Linked DNA regions of Macaca mulatta. The protein of the gene in region 2 interacts with the protein of the main gene of each other region in a biochemical or structural test. Links are inferred from orthologs where the notes say so. Each region holds a gene or a part of one and is shown on either strand. Other genes may lie near its edges.

Region 1 (8,057 bases), on a different chromosome or scaffold from region 2:
TAGCTTATTTTAAATAGACTCCATAATTGAACAGTTTATAAAAATAAGTAGAGAGAATACCAAGCTATTTCTAAAGCAGACACAAACACTTCCAGCTGTAAATGGTAGTTAAATAAACATAAGTGATTGCAAATCCTGTGAAATACCAACAGGGTGAAAAAAAAAAAAAAAACACTGGAGGAAAAGAAAAACAAAAAAGATGAAGAGAGAAGACACAGTAAAGAGCATGAGAAAATAAATATCATGTCAGAATAAAATCTGCATCTTATCAGTCTACAACATACAATGACCTCCAAAATGTGAGATCTCACTGCATAAGACAATGAAATTTACACTTCAGAATGCTAACCACCCACAGGGGATAATTTTGCCTCGTCATATTAAATACATATAAACTAAAATTACTAAAGCGACACCCACCATCAATGCCTGTGAACTACAATTCATGAGATACTTAGCCTCGAAATATATAAAACTATCCTGGCACAATCACCAGTGTGAAATTCTGTACCATTTACTAGTTATAAAAGTAATAATCCGGCCGGGCGCGGTGGCTCAAGCCTGTAATCCCAGCACTTTGGGAGGCCGAGACGGGCGGATCACGAGGTCAGGAGATCGAGACCATCCTGGGTAACACAGTGAAACCCCGTCTCTACTAAAAATACAAAAACTTAGCCGGGCGAGGTGGCAGGCACCTGTAGTCCCAGCTACTCGGGAGGCTGAGGCAGGAGAATGGCATGAACCCGGGAGGCGGAGCTTGCAGTGAGCTGAGATCCGGCCACTGCACTCCAGCCTGGGTGACAGAGCGAGACTCCGTCTCAAAAAAAAAAAAAAAAGTAATAATCCAATCTCTTAGATGTAAATGGAAGAGAAAAACAGATGTCCAATATATTCACCCTACCCACAACCCTCTATACACACATCTACACTCCAATAATGATTAAAATCAGTATTTATTTTTCTGTTTCCCAGTCCCCATTCCAGATTGACAGTAAGAAGGGTTGGTGGGAATATACATTCACAGGGTCCTGTTATACGCCACTGGTGGGGCTGACATTGACCTGGCCCTGCGGAGAGCAGCTTGGCAATATTCAAGCTGAAGAAAGCCCCACGCCACGGCACACTTCTAGATGTATTCCGAGAATAGCGCTACTCAAGGTATGTCCATGGAAAGGGGCAGGCCACGAACTGAATTCTACTGGTCCTTGACAAGAAAAACATTGCAATTGAGAGTAAGAATTTAGAAAGTTTTACAGCAATCTGACGGAGAACATTTTAATTTAAAAATTTTAAACTTGGCTAGACATAGTGGCTCACGCCTGTAATCCCACCCAGCACTTTGGGAGGCCGAGGCAGGCAGATCACCTGATGTCAGGAGTTTGAGACCAGCCTGGCCAACGTGGTGAAACCCCATCTCTACTAAAAATACAAAAATTAGCCAGGCGTGTTGGCGGGCACCTATAATCCCAGCTACTTATGAGGCTGAGGCGGGAGAATCACTTGAACCCAGGAGGCAGAGGTTGCAGTGAGCTGAGATTGTGCCACCGCACTCCAGCCCGAGCGACAAGAGCAAAACCCCATCTCAAAAAAAATAGGAAGGGGAAACAAGAGAAAGCCACACACAGAATTAACTCTATTTATAATGTAGTCTTTGTACCAGTAAGAAAAAAATCTGGGCGGGCAGGGTGGCTCACACCTGTAATCTCAGCACTTTGGGGGGCCGAGGCGGGTGGATCATTTGAGGTCAAGAGTTTGAGACCAGCCTAACCAATATGGTGAAACCGCATCTCTATTAAAAATACAAAAAAATTAGCTGGGCGTGGTGGCACATGCCTGTGGTCCCAGCTACTTGGGAGGCTGAGGCAGGAGAATTGCTTGAACCCAGGAGACAGATGTTGCAGTGAGCCAAGATCGCGTGACTGCACTCCAGCCTGGGAGACAGAGTGAGACTCTCTCAAAATAAAAAGAAAAAAATCTGTTACAAATAAGACAAATGTTAACATTTGACAAAGCTAGGTGGAGGACACATAGATGCTGGTTCTATCATTCTCTAAAACTTCCTCTATTATATTAGAAACATTTCTTTTAAAATCAAAAAAATAATAAATTTATAGTAAGTGCAACAAAAGAATAAGAGTGACTATAACAGAGCAATAGAAGGGACATAACTCAAGTTGGAACATCAATAAAGAGTTCTGTTAAAAAGTGGAATTTAGGCTGGGTGCGGTGGCTCATGCCTGTAATCCCAGCACTTTCGGAGGCCAACGCGGGTCAGGAGTCCGAGAACAGCCTAGCCAACATGGCAAACCCCCATCTGTATTAAATTAGCCAGGTGTTGTGGCACACACTTGTAGTCCCAGCTACTTCGGAGGCTAAGGCAGGAGAATCACTTAAACCCAGGAGATGGAGGTCGCAGTGAGCAAGACAGTGCCACTGCACTCCAACCTGAGTGACAGAGCAAGACTCTGTCTCAATAAAAAAGAAAGGGGAATTTACAGTGAGAAATGAAGGACCCATAGGAGTTAGCCAGACTGTGGAGGAAGGAGGAAGAGCAGAAGTGCAAATGTCTTGAGACCAAACGAAAGGCATGCAAGCCAGTGTGCACCTTGAGCATTCCCACCCAGTGAGCCATGGCAAGAAGCAAGCATGCTGAGGCTGATGCCCCTAAAGGAATCTGAAGTGCAGAAATGACATGACACAATTTGTCTCTTAGGAGGATCCCTCTGGCTGCTAACTTTGGAAAGATTGGAAGGGATTTTAAAAAGCAGAATCAGAGATGTTGTTGCAAGAGTCCAGGAAATAAATGATGGCCAATATTCACTTGGTGGCAATGTAAACAGAAAAACAAGACCTAAATCGAGTTACAGTTGGAACATAAAACTGACAAGGCTTAATGATAAATGGGTTGGGAGAAGGGAGGTAGAGAGGGATGCAAAATATCAACTAATGGACCAAAAGCCCAGGAGATCAGATAAGCTTATTAGAGGTAGGTCTGAAATTTAATCTAAATTTCCTAGCTTCCATGACAATGTAGAACACACCATTGGTTACTTAATTTACAGCAACTATAATGTAAAAACAAACCAGTAGTGGAGAAAAACAGATACATCTAGTAGCAAAATCTAACAAAGATCTTCTTCATAAAGGCAATGCTGTGCGTCACACAGGACATTCCCTAAATAATATCCTTTCTGTGTACTCATATGCTTTATAATCCTGCTGCTATCAAATTTCTTAAAAATAGATAAGTGTGGCCGGGCGCGGTGGCTCAAGCCTGTAATCCCAGCACTTTGGGAGGCCGAGGCGGGCGGATCACAAGGTCAGGAGATCGAGACCACAGTGAAACCCCGTCTCTACTGAAAATACAAAAAATTAGCCGGGCGCGGTGGCGGGCGCCTGTAGTCCTAGCTACTCAGGAGGCTGAGACAGGAGAATGGCGTGAACCCAGGAGGCGGAGCTTGCAGTGAGCCGAGATCGCGCCACTGCACTCCAGCCTGGGCAACAGCGTGAGACTCCGTCTCAAAAAAAAAAAAAAAAAAAAAAAAAAAGATAAGTGTACATAATTTCTAGAATAACCACTGAAAGAACACAAACAGAATGAAAGAAGTTGAGAACAACCATTCCAAAAGTAGGCAAGAAACATGCAGAAAAACAGAAACCACCAACTAAGATGATCTATTTAAACCTGAACATGTAAGTAATTATGTATATTAAATGTAAATAAGGCCGGGCGCGGTGGCTCAAGCCTGTAATCCCAGCACTTTGGGAGGCCGAGGCGGGCGGATCACAAGGTCAGGAGATCGAGACCACAGTGAAACCCCGTCTCTACTAAAAATACAAAAAATTAGCCGGGCGCGGTGGCGGGCGCCTGTAGTCCCAGCTACTCAGGAGGCTGAGGCAGGAGAATGGCGGGAACCCGGGAGGCGGAGCTTGCAGTGAGCCGAGATCGCGCCACTGCACTCCAGCCTGGGCAACAGCGTGAGACTCCGTCTCAAAAAAAAAAAAAAAAAAAAAAAAAAAAAATAAATGTAAATGGACTAAATGCTCCCAGTAAATCACAAAGACTGATCAACTGAGGACTGTGAGGGCTAGAGAGACTGTCAGGTCCCAGCTCTGAGTTGGCACAGGGGTGGGCAGTGGGAGGGGTGTGGGGGGTGTTAATGGCCCAGCAGGTGCAGGGCTAAGGTTTCCAATGACCTTTTCCCACCTTCTTCCTTTCTCAGGGTCATGCTTTATTTGGCCTGGTGCCTCCCTGCTGGACGCACCAGCCAATCTGGGGCCCTGCCTCAGACCTGGGAATTACGTTGGGGATGAGGGGCAGGGAGCTGGCTGTGAATCCAAGATTCAACTTGTTGCCAGAAATACAGTTATATGAAGGGGAAATTGAGTAAATAAGTAAATGCATTGGGGAGCATGGGAGCCAGGTTTCTCAAATGGAAAGGAAGAATCACAGAACAAACCCTATAGTCTTAGAATAAAATTAGTGGGAGTTGTTAGTATAAACTCGTGGTTTTTAACAGATGGTAAATAGATGAGAAGGAAAGAGAGAAGGAGAGAAGAAAGGAGGATGAATTTGTGTACATATGTGATACATTTGTAGTACAAAATACACTGGTAGAGAGAGGAAACACAGGGATGGGATGAGAAATCAAGGATACTGAGATCCTATTTCCTAAGATGGATGATACTAATTTTATGATGATGATATGTTATTTTGCTTCCTAAAATGTATTTTGTATGTGGTGTGCTCTCAACATGGCACCAAGAGAGCCTAGGCTTCAAAGACTTATCATGAACTTAACAATCTACTCATATTGGAAATTCAGCTGTTTCTACTAACTAACTTGTGTGGGTCAAGCAGGGCATGTCATTTTGTTTAAAGAGACAATAGGCTGGACACAGTGGCTCACGCCTGTAATCCCAGCACTTTGGGAGGCCAAGGTGGGCGGATCACTTGAGGTCAGGAGTTTGAGTCCAGCCTGGCCAACATGACAAAACCCCATCTCTACCAAAAAATATAAAAATTAGCTGGGCTTGGTGGCATGTGCCTTGTAGTCTCACGTACTTGGGAGGCTGAAGTGGGAGAATCACTTGAGGCCAGGGGAAGTGGGGGAGTACCACTGCACTACAGCCTGGGGGACAGAGTAAAACCCAAAAATAAACAGACAATGATGCTCAGCCATGATTGTTTCAACACAGATACACTTGCTCCTCAAAGAAAAAACCCTTTATGAATATTCATCCTTTTCATGAATAGTCATCCTTTTAATCCCACCAAGTGTACCTTAAACCTCAGAAAAGTAACATTCAAAGAGAAATAATGATCATCTTTATTTTTGACGGCGTTTCACTCTTTCGCCCAGGCTGGAGTGCAGTGGCACAATCTCTACGGGAGTGAGCACCATGCCCCGCCCAATAATGGTCATCTTTTTACCAAATAAAGATCAACTGAAATATGACTACTAAGGCAATTAAAACCCTAAGAAAACTTTTGGCCAGGCACAGTGGCTCACATCTGTAATCCCAGCATTTTGGGAGGCCGAGGCAGGCGGATCACCTAAGGTCAGGAGTTCGAGACCAGCCTGGCCAAACACTGTGAAACCCCGTCTCTACAAAAACACAAAAATTAACCGGGCATGATGGTGGGTGCCCGTAATCCCAGCTACTCGGGAGGCTGAGGCAGGAGAATCGCTTGAACCCAGGAGGCGGATGTTGCAGTGAGCCGAGATCACACTATTGTACTCCAGCCTGGGCGACAGAGTGAGACTCTGTTTCCAGAAAAAAAAAAAAGAAAGAAAAAAAAAAGTTTTAACCACCACATACATCTATTCCAGGCAAGCACATTAAGGTTTTTAAGGATGGCCTAATTTATATTAATAAAATAAAAACAACATAATGCAACCTTCTTTAGACTTCTGGCTTAACAAAAGTCCTCTTTTAAAAACTTTCTCCTAACTACATATTAATATCTTACACATATTATGCTGTGTGTATGTATAATTAACATATAACTCTATACATTATGTTATATAAAACCAATATGACTATATTAACTTACCATCCCACTGGAATTATTTATTCCATTCATATTAATTTTTGTTACAAATCTAACTGACGGAGGAGCTTCTGGGTATTTAGGTCCACATTCTACTTTCAGGCTATATATTCTGTTTTCATAATTTGTCTGGAAGGCAAAAAACAAAAAGACAATCAAAATAACAATACCTAAAATATTAATGTCTAAGTGCTAAAAAAAAAAAAAAAGGAAAAGTACAATATGAATGTACTTGATAAGACACTGTTTATGATTAAGAATTTATTTTTCCACATTCAAATTTATTTCACCTCTATGGTGAGAAAAAATGCAATAAGCATACTTAAAAATTGAGATTTTACAAAATTAATTGCATGAGATCTTCCCAAATTAATTCTACAAAGTATTATCAATATGATCACAACTTGCTTTTGTGATAAAAAATGATGCCTGTAACAAATTAGAAGGAAGAAGGAAAAAGGAAAAACCAAACCACTTAAATTTAGATTTTGCTAAAAAGTTTACATTGTAGAGGGAGGGGCTACTTGAGACTTGTGTCAAACATATATGAGGTTTCTGTTTTACACAACAGTTCTGCTTATTCCTATTGTTCCAGAATTGACTATTAATAGTGCCTGTTTTCATTCTCAAAAGGGTCTTGTTGGATAACAAATTATATGATCATCCTACTTAATATGGCAATCAATAACTTCTAGCAAAAAAGAAAACCCCACATTATACCATTGTGCAGCAATAAAACATAATTATTTTATGTCTCCTGTTAGTTACACTTACGTTGCTACTTCATTAATTTTGAGGTTCATTAAATCCCATTATCTGAATTCAGAGAAACAATAGCAAACTTTATGTTTACACATCATTTTCAAATAGGTATCAAACTTAAAGCTTCTAGATTATCCAGGGCTTATTTTCATGCCTATAAATTAGCTCTTCTTTCTCCTATAGCTTTTGTTCACTTGGTTAACTTATTAGTGTACCATTAAAACAGCAAAGTAAAAAATAAACGAATCCTTGACCGGGCGCAGTGGCTCAAGCCTGTAATCCCAGCACTTTGGGAGGCCAAGATGGGCGGATCACGAGGTCAGGAGATCGAGACCATCCTGGCTAACACGGTGAAACCCCGTCTCTACTAAAAAATACAAAAAACTAGCTGGGCGAGGTGGCGGGCGCCTGTAGTCCCAGCTACACGGGAGGCTGAGGCAGGAGAATGGCATAAACCCGGGAGGGGGAGTTTGCAGAGAGCTGAGATCCGGCCACTGCACTCCAGCCCGGGCAACAGAGCAAGACTCCATCTCAAAAAAAAAAAAAAATACCAAAAAAAAAATAAATGAATCCTCACCTTGACTCAATTAAAAAGAAAAAAATTGTTTTAAAAAGAATTTATAATTATTGAAATTTTAATAAATTTTCTAAATTATAATTAAAATAACATAAAAATATATACATAAATAAATGAAAGTGAAAAATTTAATACCTGCTGGCTGCTGAATAAGACCAGAGAGGGAGGAAGCTAATCAACCATCTACAGATCTCACCTACTCAAACTGATCCCGTCCCCATAAACAAGAACTATCCAAATGGAGGTCAGATTTGCAGTATTAAACTACTCTAATGTAAAACCTATGCAACAATCTTATATGTATGTTATTAAATATTTCAATATTTTTAAGAAAAAAAGCTATATAAAACTTATCTGAGATTAATAGCAAGCAAATATTAATAATATCCCCAGCACTTTCAATATATAAAAATGACTAAAATCAGATAGATCTAAAGATTATCTTGGCTGTGGTTCTCCAATCTGGATGCATATCAGACACCCCTATGATAGAGCAATTCTTTTTTTTTTTTTTTTTGAGACGGAGTCTTGCTGTCGCCCAGGTCGGAGTGCAGTGGAGCGATCTCGACTCACTCACTGCAAGCTCCACCTCCCGGGTTCACGCCATTCTCCTGCCTCAGCCTCCCAAGTAGCTGGGACTACAGGCACCCGCCACCACGCCTG
Region 2 (8,057 bases):
CTATTTGAAAAAGTTGAAAAACTTTAACTTTACTGAAACTGTTCTCAGAAAATGTTATTTTTAAAGTATTCTTTTTAATAGGCTATATATTTACTAACATTTATTTAGCACTCACTAGGTGTTATACATTGATCTAAGTGCTTTAAATGTATTCACAGCAATCCTATTAGGTCAGTATAATTATTATCCACATCTTATAAATGAGGAAACTGAGGCACAGAGCAGTTTAGGTGACTTATACTGTTGTCACACAGCTAGTGAATGACAGGACTGATATTTAAACTCTGGCAGTTGGGTTTGGAGCTTGGAAGTTTAATCTTTGTATTATTTTGCCTATTCCTTGCATTCTTGAATATTCAGAAGTGTTTGTTGCCATAATACTAACAGTTCTAATACTAGCAGCAGATTCATGTATAGCACTTAATATATTCCAGGCACTATTTTAAATACTTCACATGTGTTAAATTAAATAATAGTAGTTGTATGAGGTAGGTACTTTTACAGTGCCACTATTACGACTGAGGAAGCTCAAGACATAGGTTAAGCAGCCTGTCCAAGGTTACATAATTAAATTGGCACAGCCAAGTTTTTAATTCATGACCAGCTAGCTCTAAAAATTTGTACTCCAAGTCGTTAGGCTGTATTTCTTCTGTTGCCTTAAAATACTTAAATATCAGATGGCCTGGTTATATAATTTTTGGATCGCCCATTTCCTTAAGAATCTACATTGTCTTTTTTTTTTTTTTTTTTTTTTTTTTTTGAGACGGAGTCTCGCTCTGTCGCCCAGGCTGGAGTGCAGTGGCCGGTTCCCAGCTCACTGCAAGCTCCGCCTCCCGGGTTCACGCCATTCTCCTGCCTCAGCCTCCCGAGTAGCTGGGACTACAGGCGCCCACAACCGCGCCCGGCTAATTTTTTGTATTTTTAGTAGAGACGGGGTTTCACCGTGGTCTCGATCTCCTGACCTTGTGATCCGCCCGCCTCGGCCTCCCAAAGTGCTGGGATTACAGGCGTGAGCCACCGCGCCCGGCCAAGAATCTACATTGTCATTGTACCACTGTATTTTGTATAGAATGTTTCTGTGGGGAAGCCTGGTTTGTTTGTTTTTTTCCTCTAAAGTTCAACAACTTCTCTGTTGACTTTCCCTGGGACATGTGATACTATTTAAATCTTTAGATTCCAGGCTTTTCCCCTCTTCTTTTTCCTGGAAAGCTTTCTTTAAATATTGTTTTCTGCTCCATTATTTTATTTCTCTCTGTGTATGTTAGATGTCTTTTAGCTGCGTTCCATAGGTATCATTTTATTTCTGAACTTTTACATTTTTGTGTTTAATCTTGATTTTCTCAATCCTGTTTCCTACATCCTTTTTCTATGTTTTTATCAGTGACTAGTCTTTTTTTATATTGGCTTATATTGGTTTCAGTGTGACTTTCATTTCTCTGATGATTCACTATTTTCTTTCACTTTCTTGAGCCATACCAGCTCATCTTTCAGCTCTTTATGTTCTCTTGCCATATTTTTTCAAAGCTCTTTTTCTCTTTTTTTTTTTTTTTTGGAGGAATTGTTTTATTGAGTGGTGTTAAATTGTGACAGTATCTTTAGTCATAATTTTTATTTGCTCTGTGGCAACATTTTTCTGCTGAGTTTTCTTTCACTGCCATGTGTTCCCTACCTTTGCTCTCTGCTGATTATTACTTATATTTGAATATCTTGAGTTCTTCTTGGACTAGCTGCTTGCTAGTCTAGATGTACGTAAAGGGAAAGGTCATAATCATGTCCCAGACCAGCAGGAAATAACCCAATTTACTTAAGAGTCAGGGTTACATGTTGAGTTACTTTAGGTTTTATTAGTACACATAAATAGAGATCAGAAACTTTAGGGGTGCTTGGAGTGTAGAGTGCTGTGCCCATAGTCTTTTTTTGAAAAACACAGCGCATCTGTATGTTTCTGTGTTCAGTTTACCTTCCCTCTTTTTTGATAAAAATTTCTCCAGGGAAGCTCAAGTCACCAAGCATGCACCCTGTTCCTGTTTCTGCACATGAGAGGTATTGATTTTCTCCTCAGGGCATGCCATCCATTTTAAAGAATTATGTTTTGGCAGCTCTGTTTGAGATCTGCAGTCATCTCTCTCAGCATCTTCCTATCTGACTTATACTGCAATTGGCAACCATTTCTCATATATTGTGCCTTATTGTTAAAGATCTCTCCTGATTTTATTAGAGTTTGTTTTTCTGTTTTTCATTCTTGTTTTGGAGTAATTTCTAGAGAAGAAAAGAACAATGCCATTTTACGCTGCTGTTTTAGAATAGGAAGTTATTGTTTAGCGGACTTAGTAATATTTGACATTTTAATCTCTAGGTATTTTAATGAAGGGACTGTCTTGGCACATTATGCAGATGTCCTGGGTCTTTTGCTTAGATTGCGGCAAATTTGTTGCCATACTTACCTTCTTACAAATGCAGTGTCTTCCAGTGGCCCCTCAGGTAGGTAAATTTGATTGCTTCATATCATTGTTATTTGTCAGAGATACTTAGATAAGAATGATCAATTTTTTTTTTTTTTTTTTTTTGAGACGGAGTCTCGCTCTGTCGCCCAGGCTGGAGTGCAGTGGCCGGATCTCAGCTCACTGCAAGCTCCGCCTCCCGGGTTTACGCCGTTCTCCTGCCTCAGCCTCCCGAGTAGCTGGGACTACAGGCGCCCGCCACCTCGCCCGGCTAAGTTTTTTTTTTTTATTTTTTAGTAGAGACGGGGTTTCACCGTGTCAGCCAGGATGGTCTCGATCTCCTGACCTCGTGATCCGCCCGTCTCGGCCTCCCAAAGTGCTGGGATTACAGGCTTGAGCCACCGCGCCTGGCCCAGAATGATCAATTTTTTTTATGTAGCATACATTTAGTTTGTTATTTTGTTCTGTCAAATGGAGATTGCTTTTAGTGTGAGACTCAGCTAGGAATATATTCAATAATTTTTTTTACCAGTGAAATGGAATTATAATGAGGTCTTTCCAGGAATTCCAGTGATAGATACCCTTTGATGAAAGATTCATATTGGATCTGCCTTTTATTGTGTGCTGGTATGTCACTATCATGTTATAATGATGCTTCTCTATGAGGTATATTACGTGAGTTGGCTACTATTTTGGCTTCTGAATGTTTCTTAAATTTCAAATTTAAATTATGCTTTTTGCCTGTGACAGAAAATGATGAGAGACTTTCCCTACTGGCAAGCGAAACTTTTCCTTATATAAGGTAGATTAACTTGTCATATTACAAACCTTGCTCTGACATTAATTTTTCAGCCTTTTCTCTAGGAAATGATACACCTGAAGAACTGAGAAAGAAGTTAATAAGGAAGATGAAGTTAATTCTGAGCTCAGGTTCAGATGAAGAATGTGCAATTTGCCTGGATTCTTTAACAGTTCCTGTGATAACACATTGTGCACATGTATTTTGTAAACCCTGTATTTGCCAAGTCATTCAGAATGAGCAGGTTAGTTTTTTGCTCAGTAGAGGTTCAGTGTTTGATAGGGTAGTGTACCTGTCTTTAATAAAAGATAATATATGGAGTTTTACAATTGGATTTAATAATACACCTTTGATAGTTAATTATTCCAGTATTTTAATAAGTGATATATTTCTCCTAATGCAACACTTTCAACATAAAAAGATGTTCACAATCAATATCTTAATTCCACTAACTGTTTATATCATTGCTGTTCAATAAATGGATTGATAAAGTGAGACACAAAGGTAATTTTAAGTTTTCTAGTAGTCATACTCTTAAGTAAAAAGAAACATTAAGCTAATTTTAATACATTTGTATTTAACCCAGTATATCTAAAATATAAAAAGTATTAATGTGATGTGCTTTTTGCAAAAAACTAAATCTTCAGAATTTGGTGGTAGTGTATACTTATAGCACACCTCAATTTGGCTTAGCCACATTTCAAGGACTTAATTGCCCCATGTGATTATTGGCTATTGTGTTGGATAAGGTAGGTCTAGATTCTTTTGTGTGGTTGAATTTTTTTGAAGTAGACTAGTTTGTTAAGCAGTCATTCAGCTAGGGTAGAATTTTTTTAAACATTTTAAATTGATATATGTAGAAAAAATGTATAAATTCATGATTAAATAGCTCAGTGAATTATCATGAAGTAAATATATTCCTGTATCTACTGCCTAGGTCCCCTTGTGGCCCCTCCCAATCATTTACCCTCTCCCTCTTCCCCAAAAGTAACCCCATTGTACTGACTTTTAAATAATTTTACCTTCAGAATTATTTTATTGTAATGGTGTTTTATATATAGTTATTTAAGATATTTTATTAGCAAGTTCAAATGGGTACAACAGATGTTGCTTTGGAATGAACTTGATAGGATTTAACAGATCCTAGTAGCTTTATAAGCTGTTATTAGCTTTATAAGCTTAATAGCTTTATAAGCCATTAAGATGGATTTTTTTTTTTAAGAATAGTACTAAATAGTGTAGCTCTATTGTATTTAGGTTCAATAAACTGTTATTCATGACTTTTTTTTAAACTTGCTTACAAACGTTATAATGTTTAGTTTCTTGCTGTTGCTTCTAGCTAGTCCAGATCACATATGTTTGCTCCCTCCTTTACCCATTCTACTTATCACATGTCTGGAATTCAGCAGGTTCAGATGTCTCTTAAATGGATGAAATCTATTAAAAGGTTTAATAAAATGTTAGCTATAAGAGATACAGATTTTAGCATACATTTAAAAATTTTTAGGCATATTTATATTTGTTCTTCTGTTAAGTGTTGCTCATACTTTTTTCTTTCTTATATAGCCACATGCTAAATGCCCTTTATGCAGAAATGATATACATGAAGATAATTTATTAGAATGTCCTCCAGAAGAATTAGCATGTGACAGTGAGAAAAAGTCTGATATGGAATGGACATCCAGTTCAAAGGTAGAGTACTCAGGTGCAAATATTTGAGTATTTGTTTAACCTTTATATAAGGAAATATACACAGTATATCAAAATCATAATTCTGCTTTCATTCCTGTCATTTTAGTATTCTGTTGTTGACCACTGTTTATTCTTAGTGGTGAATTTGAGAGGAAATAGAATGGGTTCAGATTATTATAGTGTTCTTTCAGTCTTAATTCTTTGTTTTAAATGAGTAGTCTTTTGCATTTTAGGGAAATAATATTTCAGGACTTTATGATAAAAACTTTCAGACTAATTTTACTGATTTAAAATGGAATCTAACGGACATCTTAATATTTTTTCAGATTAATGCGCTAATGCACGCATTGACTGACTTAAGAAAGAAGAATCCCAACATAAAAAGTTTGGTTGTTTCTCAGTTTACAACATTCCTGTCTTTAATAGAAATACCACTTAAGTAAGTTCCACGGTGTTTTTCACTTTCAGTAAAAGGATTTTATATGATTGTATTGATTTGAATAGCAAAAAAAAAATAAAAAGCTTATTTCTTTTGCCAGTTTTAGTCATTTTATCTGAAAGATACTGAGAGTCACAATAGAGAATACTTCCTGGCAGCACAGGAGTTTAAAGATTAAGTCCTGAATTTATCAGAAAATGACTGACTGCAGTGTCTAGCATATTAATAAGTGTTCAGTAAACATTTGTTAACATAAATGAGTGAAAGACTTTATTGAAGAGATTTGTGGTTACTTAACTCTGTTTTATTTTTATAATGATAGTGTTTGTTGCTTGTTTCTTTTCTTCCCCCATTAAGAGCCTCTGGATTTGTGTTTACTCGTTTGGATGGTTCCATGGCCCAAAAGAAAAGAGTTGAATCAATTCAGTGTTTTCAAAACACTGAAGCAGGATCTCCAACTATAATGCTTCTGTCCTTAAAAGCAGGTGGAGTTGGTTTGAATCTGTCTGCAGCTTCTCGAGTGTTTTTAATGGATCCAGTAAGTAGTTTTGTAAATTTTTTCAGAACCTTAGTACTTCTTTCAAAAAAATAGACAAAAAAAAAGTGGTAAATACCTTCATAGTTATAATTAACTGTGAATATTCTTAGGCAAACTTTAGAAATAGATAACAAAAACTTAGTAAATGTAGATTAAGAGCTTTCTCTTAAGCACTTTACTGAAATCCTCACAACATCCTTATGAGGTAGATAACCATTATTAAATGCTGTGTTTTGGCCAGGCGCTGTGGCGCATGCCTGTAATCCCAGCAATTTGGGAGGCCAAGGTGAATGGATTGCCTGAGCTCAGGAGTTTGAGAGCAGCCTGGGCAACATGGCAACATGGCAAAACCCCATCTCTACAAAAAAAAAAGTACCAGAAAAGTTACTCGGGTGTGGTGGTGTGTGCTTGTAGTCCCAGCTACTTGCTGGGCTGAGTCGGAAAGACTGATTGCTTGAGCCCAGGAGGTTGAAGTTTCAGTGAGCCATGTTCCTGTCACTGCACTCCAGCCTGGGTGACAGAACAAGAACCCGTCTCTGAAAGAAAAAAAAGAAAAAAAAAGCTCTGTTTTACTGAAGAGGCAACTGAAGCACAGAAAAGTAAATAATGTGCCCAGTATCACACAGTTTAATGGGCAAAACCAGAATCATAGTCCATGTATTTAAGTACTATTATGCTATGCTATTCTACTTTTCTTCTATAATAAATCTTTATTAACCATAATGCTTTTTAGGGTAGTGGTTCATTCAGCTGACAAATAATGAGATCCTGCTTTGTGTCAGTTGTTATAGGCACTGGGAATCTAATTATAAACAAGATAGACAAAATGACTACCATCATGGTTCTAGTGGTCTTAAGCTTTAATGTGCATACAAATTAGGTAAATGCAATTTCTTTTGCATTTAACTTAGAGACTTAGGCGTTCTAGGATTAGACTCAGGAAGCTGCATTTTTAGCATATCATAGGTGATTCAGGTATAGGTGGTCTAGGATCACAATTTGAGAAACAAATGGTCATTAATGGAATGTTCTGAGTACATTTTAATGCCTAATACAGTGCAGTCACTTGTGGTTGTGTGTAGTACAGGCATAAGGGTAGAACAGAGGCTAAAATTCACTTTGAACTTGACTCACCAAGCTGTGTCACCTGGACCTGCTTTCACATAGGAACATGTTTTTCTACATGTACAGAGGGGCTGTTTGGCTTGAAAGGACCTTGGACTAATTCAGTTTCTAATTTGCACTAGGTACTATGTGGGCTAGAGGCAACCTTTGCTGTTTCTGTGCATTCAGACTTAAGATTTGTGGTTGTAGCTTGTTGCCTGAAACTCAGAAGATTTTTAACATGTAGAAATTCTACTGAGATACAAATTTTAGTTACTTGGGTGAGGCTACCTTGTTGATGCATATATGTTTACTGAGGCTTCCTTTTTCCTCCCTCCACTGAGGGTATCCTTCTCAGTAAGATTGGGTATCCTCAGCAAGATTATAACTCGGGTCATCATACTTAGGCCTTCATGGGTGAATATCGTGGATATGGTATGGTCTGTTGTATTTCCCCCTTTTTCTTTTTTTTTTGAGATGGAGTTTTGCTCTGTCGCCCATGCTGGAGTGTTGTGGCGCGATCTTGGCTCACTGCAACTTACATCTCCTGGGTTCAAGCAGTTCTCTGCCTCAGTCTCCTGAGTAGCTGGGATTACAGGCACCTGCCACCATGCCTGGCTAATTTTTGTATTTTTAGTAGAGATGGGGTTTTACCATGTTGGCCAGGCTGATCTTGAACTCCTGACCTCGTGATCCACCTGCCTTGGCCTCCCAGAGTGCTGGGATTACAGGCGTGAGCCACTGCACCCGGCCGGTCTGTTGTATTTTCTTTAGTACTGTGGATAAAGTTTTAAACCTTTGTTGCAGTATTTTATGGCTACTATACAAAAATATAGTATATCGCGCCACTGTACTCCAGCCTGGTTACAGAGCAAGACTCCATCTCAAAAAAAAAAAAAAAAAAAAAAAAAACACTTGTAGTTTTAATTTAAAATTTAATGATCCTTATCCAAACAATTCATGATTCATGATACTATTTAAAAACCACTTACCAGAGTTCTGTATCTTTTTGGTTATTCTTCCCTTTTCATTGTTGCACCATTT

What was found.
Region 1: the proteins of HLTF (region 2) and UBE2V2 form a complex in vitro, tested with the Homo sapiens proteins (2 studies listed by BioGRID). The link is inferred for Macaca mulatta from reciprocal best matches to the Homo sapiens genes HLTF and UBE2V2.

Annotation. Positions count from the first base shown.
Region 1 is NC_133413.1:58,595,920-58,603,976, reverse strand, and holds part of UBE2V2 (ubiquitin-conjugating enzyme E2 variant 2), read right to left. Parts: intron 6,185-8,057; coding exon 6,059-6,184; intron 1-6,058. UniProt on the Homo sapiens protein: Has no ubiquitin ligase activity on its own. The UBE2V2/UBE2N heterodimer catalyzes the synthesis of non-canonical poly-ubiquitin chains that are linked through 'Lys-63'. This type of poly-ubiquitination does not lead to protein degradation by the proteasome.
Region 2 is NC_133407.1:52,037,759-52,045,815, reverse strand, and holds part of HLTF (helicase-like transcription factor), read left to right. Parts: intron 1-2,356; coding exon 2,357-2,481; intron 2,482-3,293; coding exon 3,294-3,484; intron 3,485-4,806; coding exon 4,807-4,932; intron 4,933-5,258; coding exon 5,259-5,371; intron 5,372-5,728; coding exon 5,729-5,909; intron 5,910-8,057. UniProt on the Homo sapiens protein: Has both helicase and E3 ubiquitin ligase activities. Possesses intrinsic ATP-dependent nucleosome-remodeling activity; This activity may be required for transcriptional activation or repression of specific target promoters.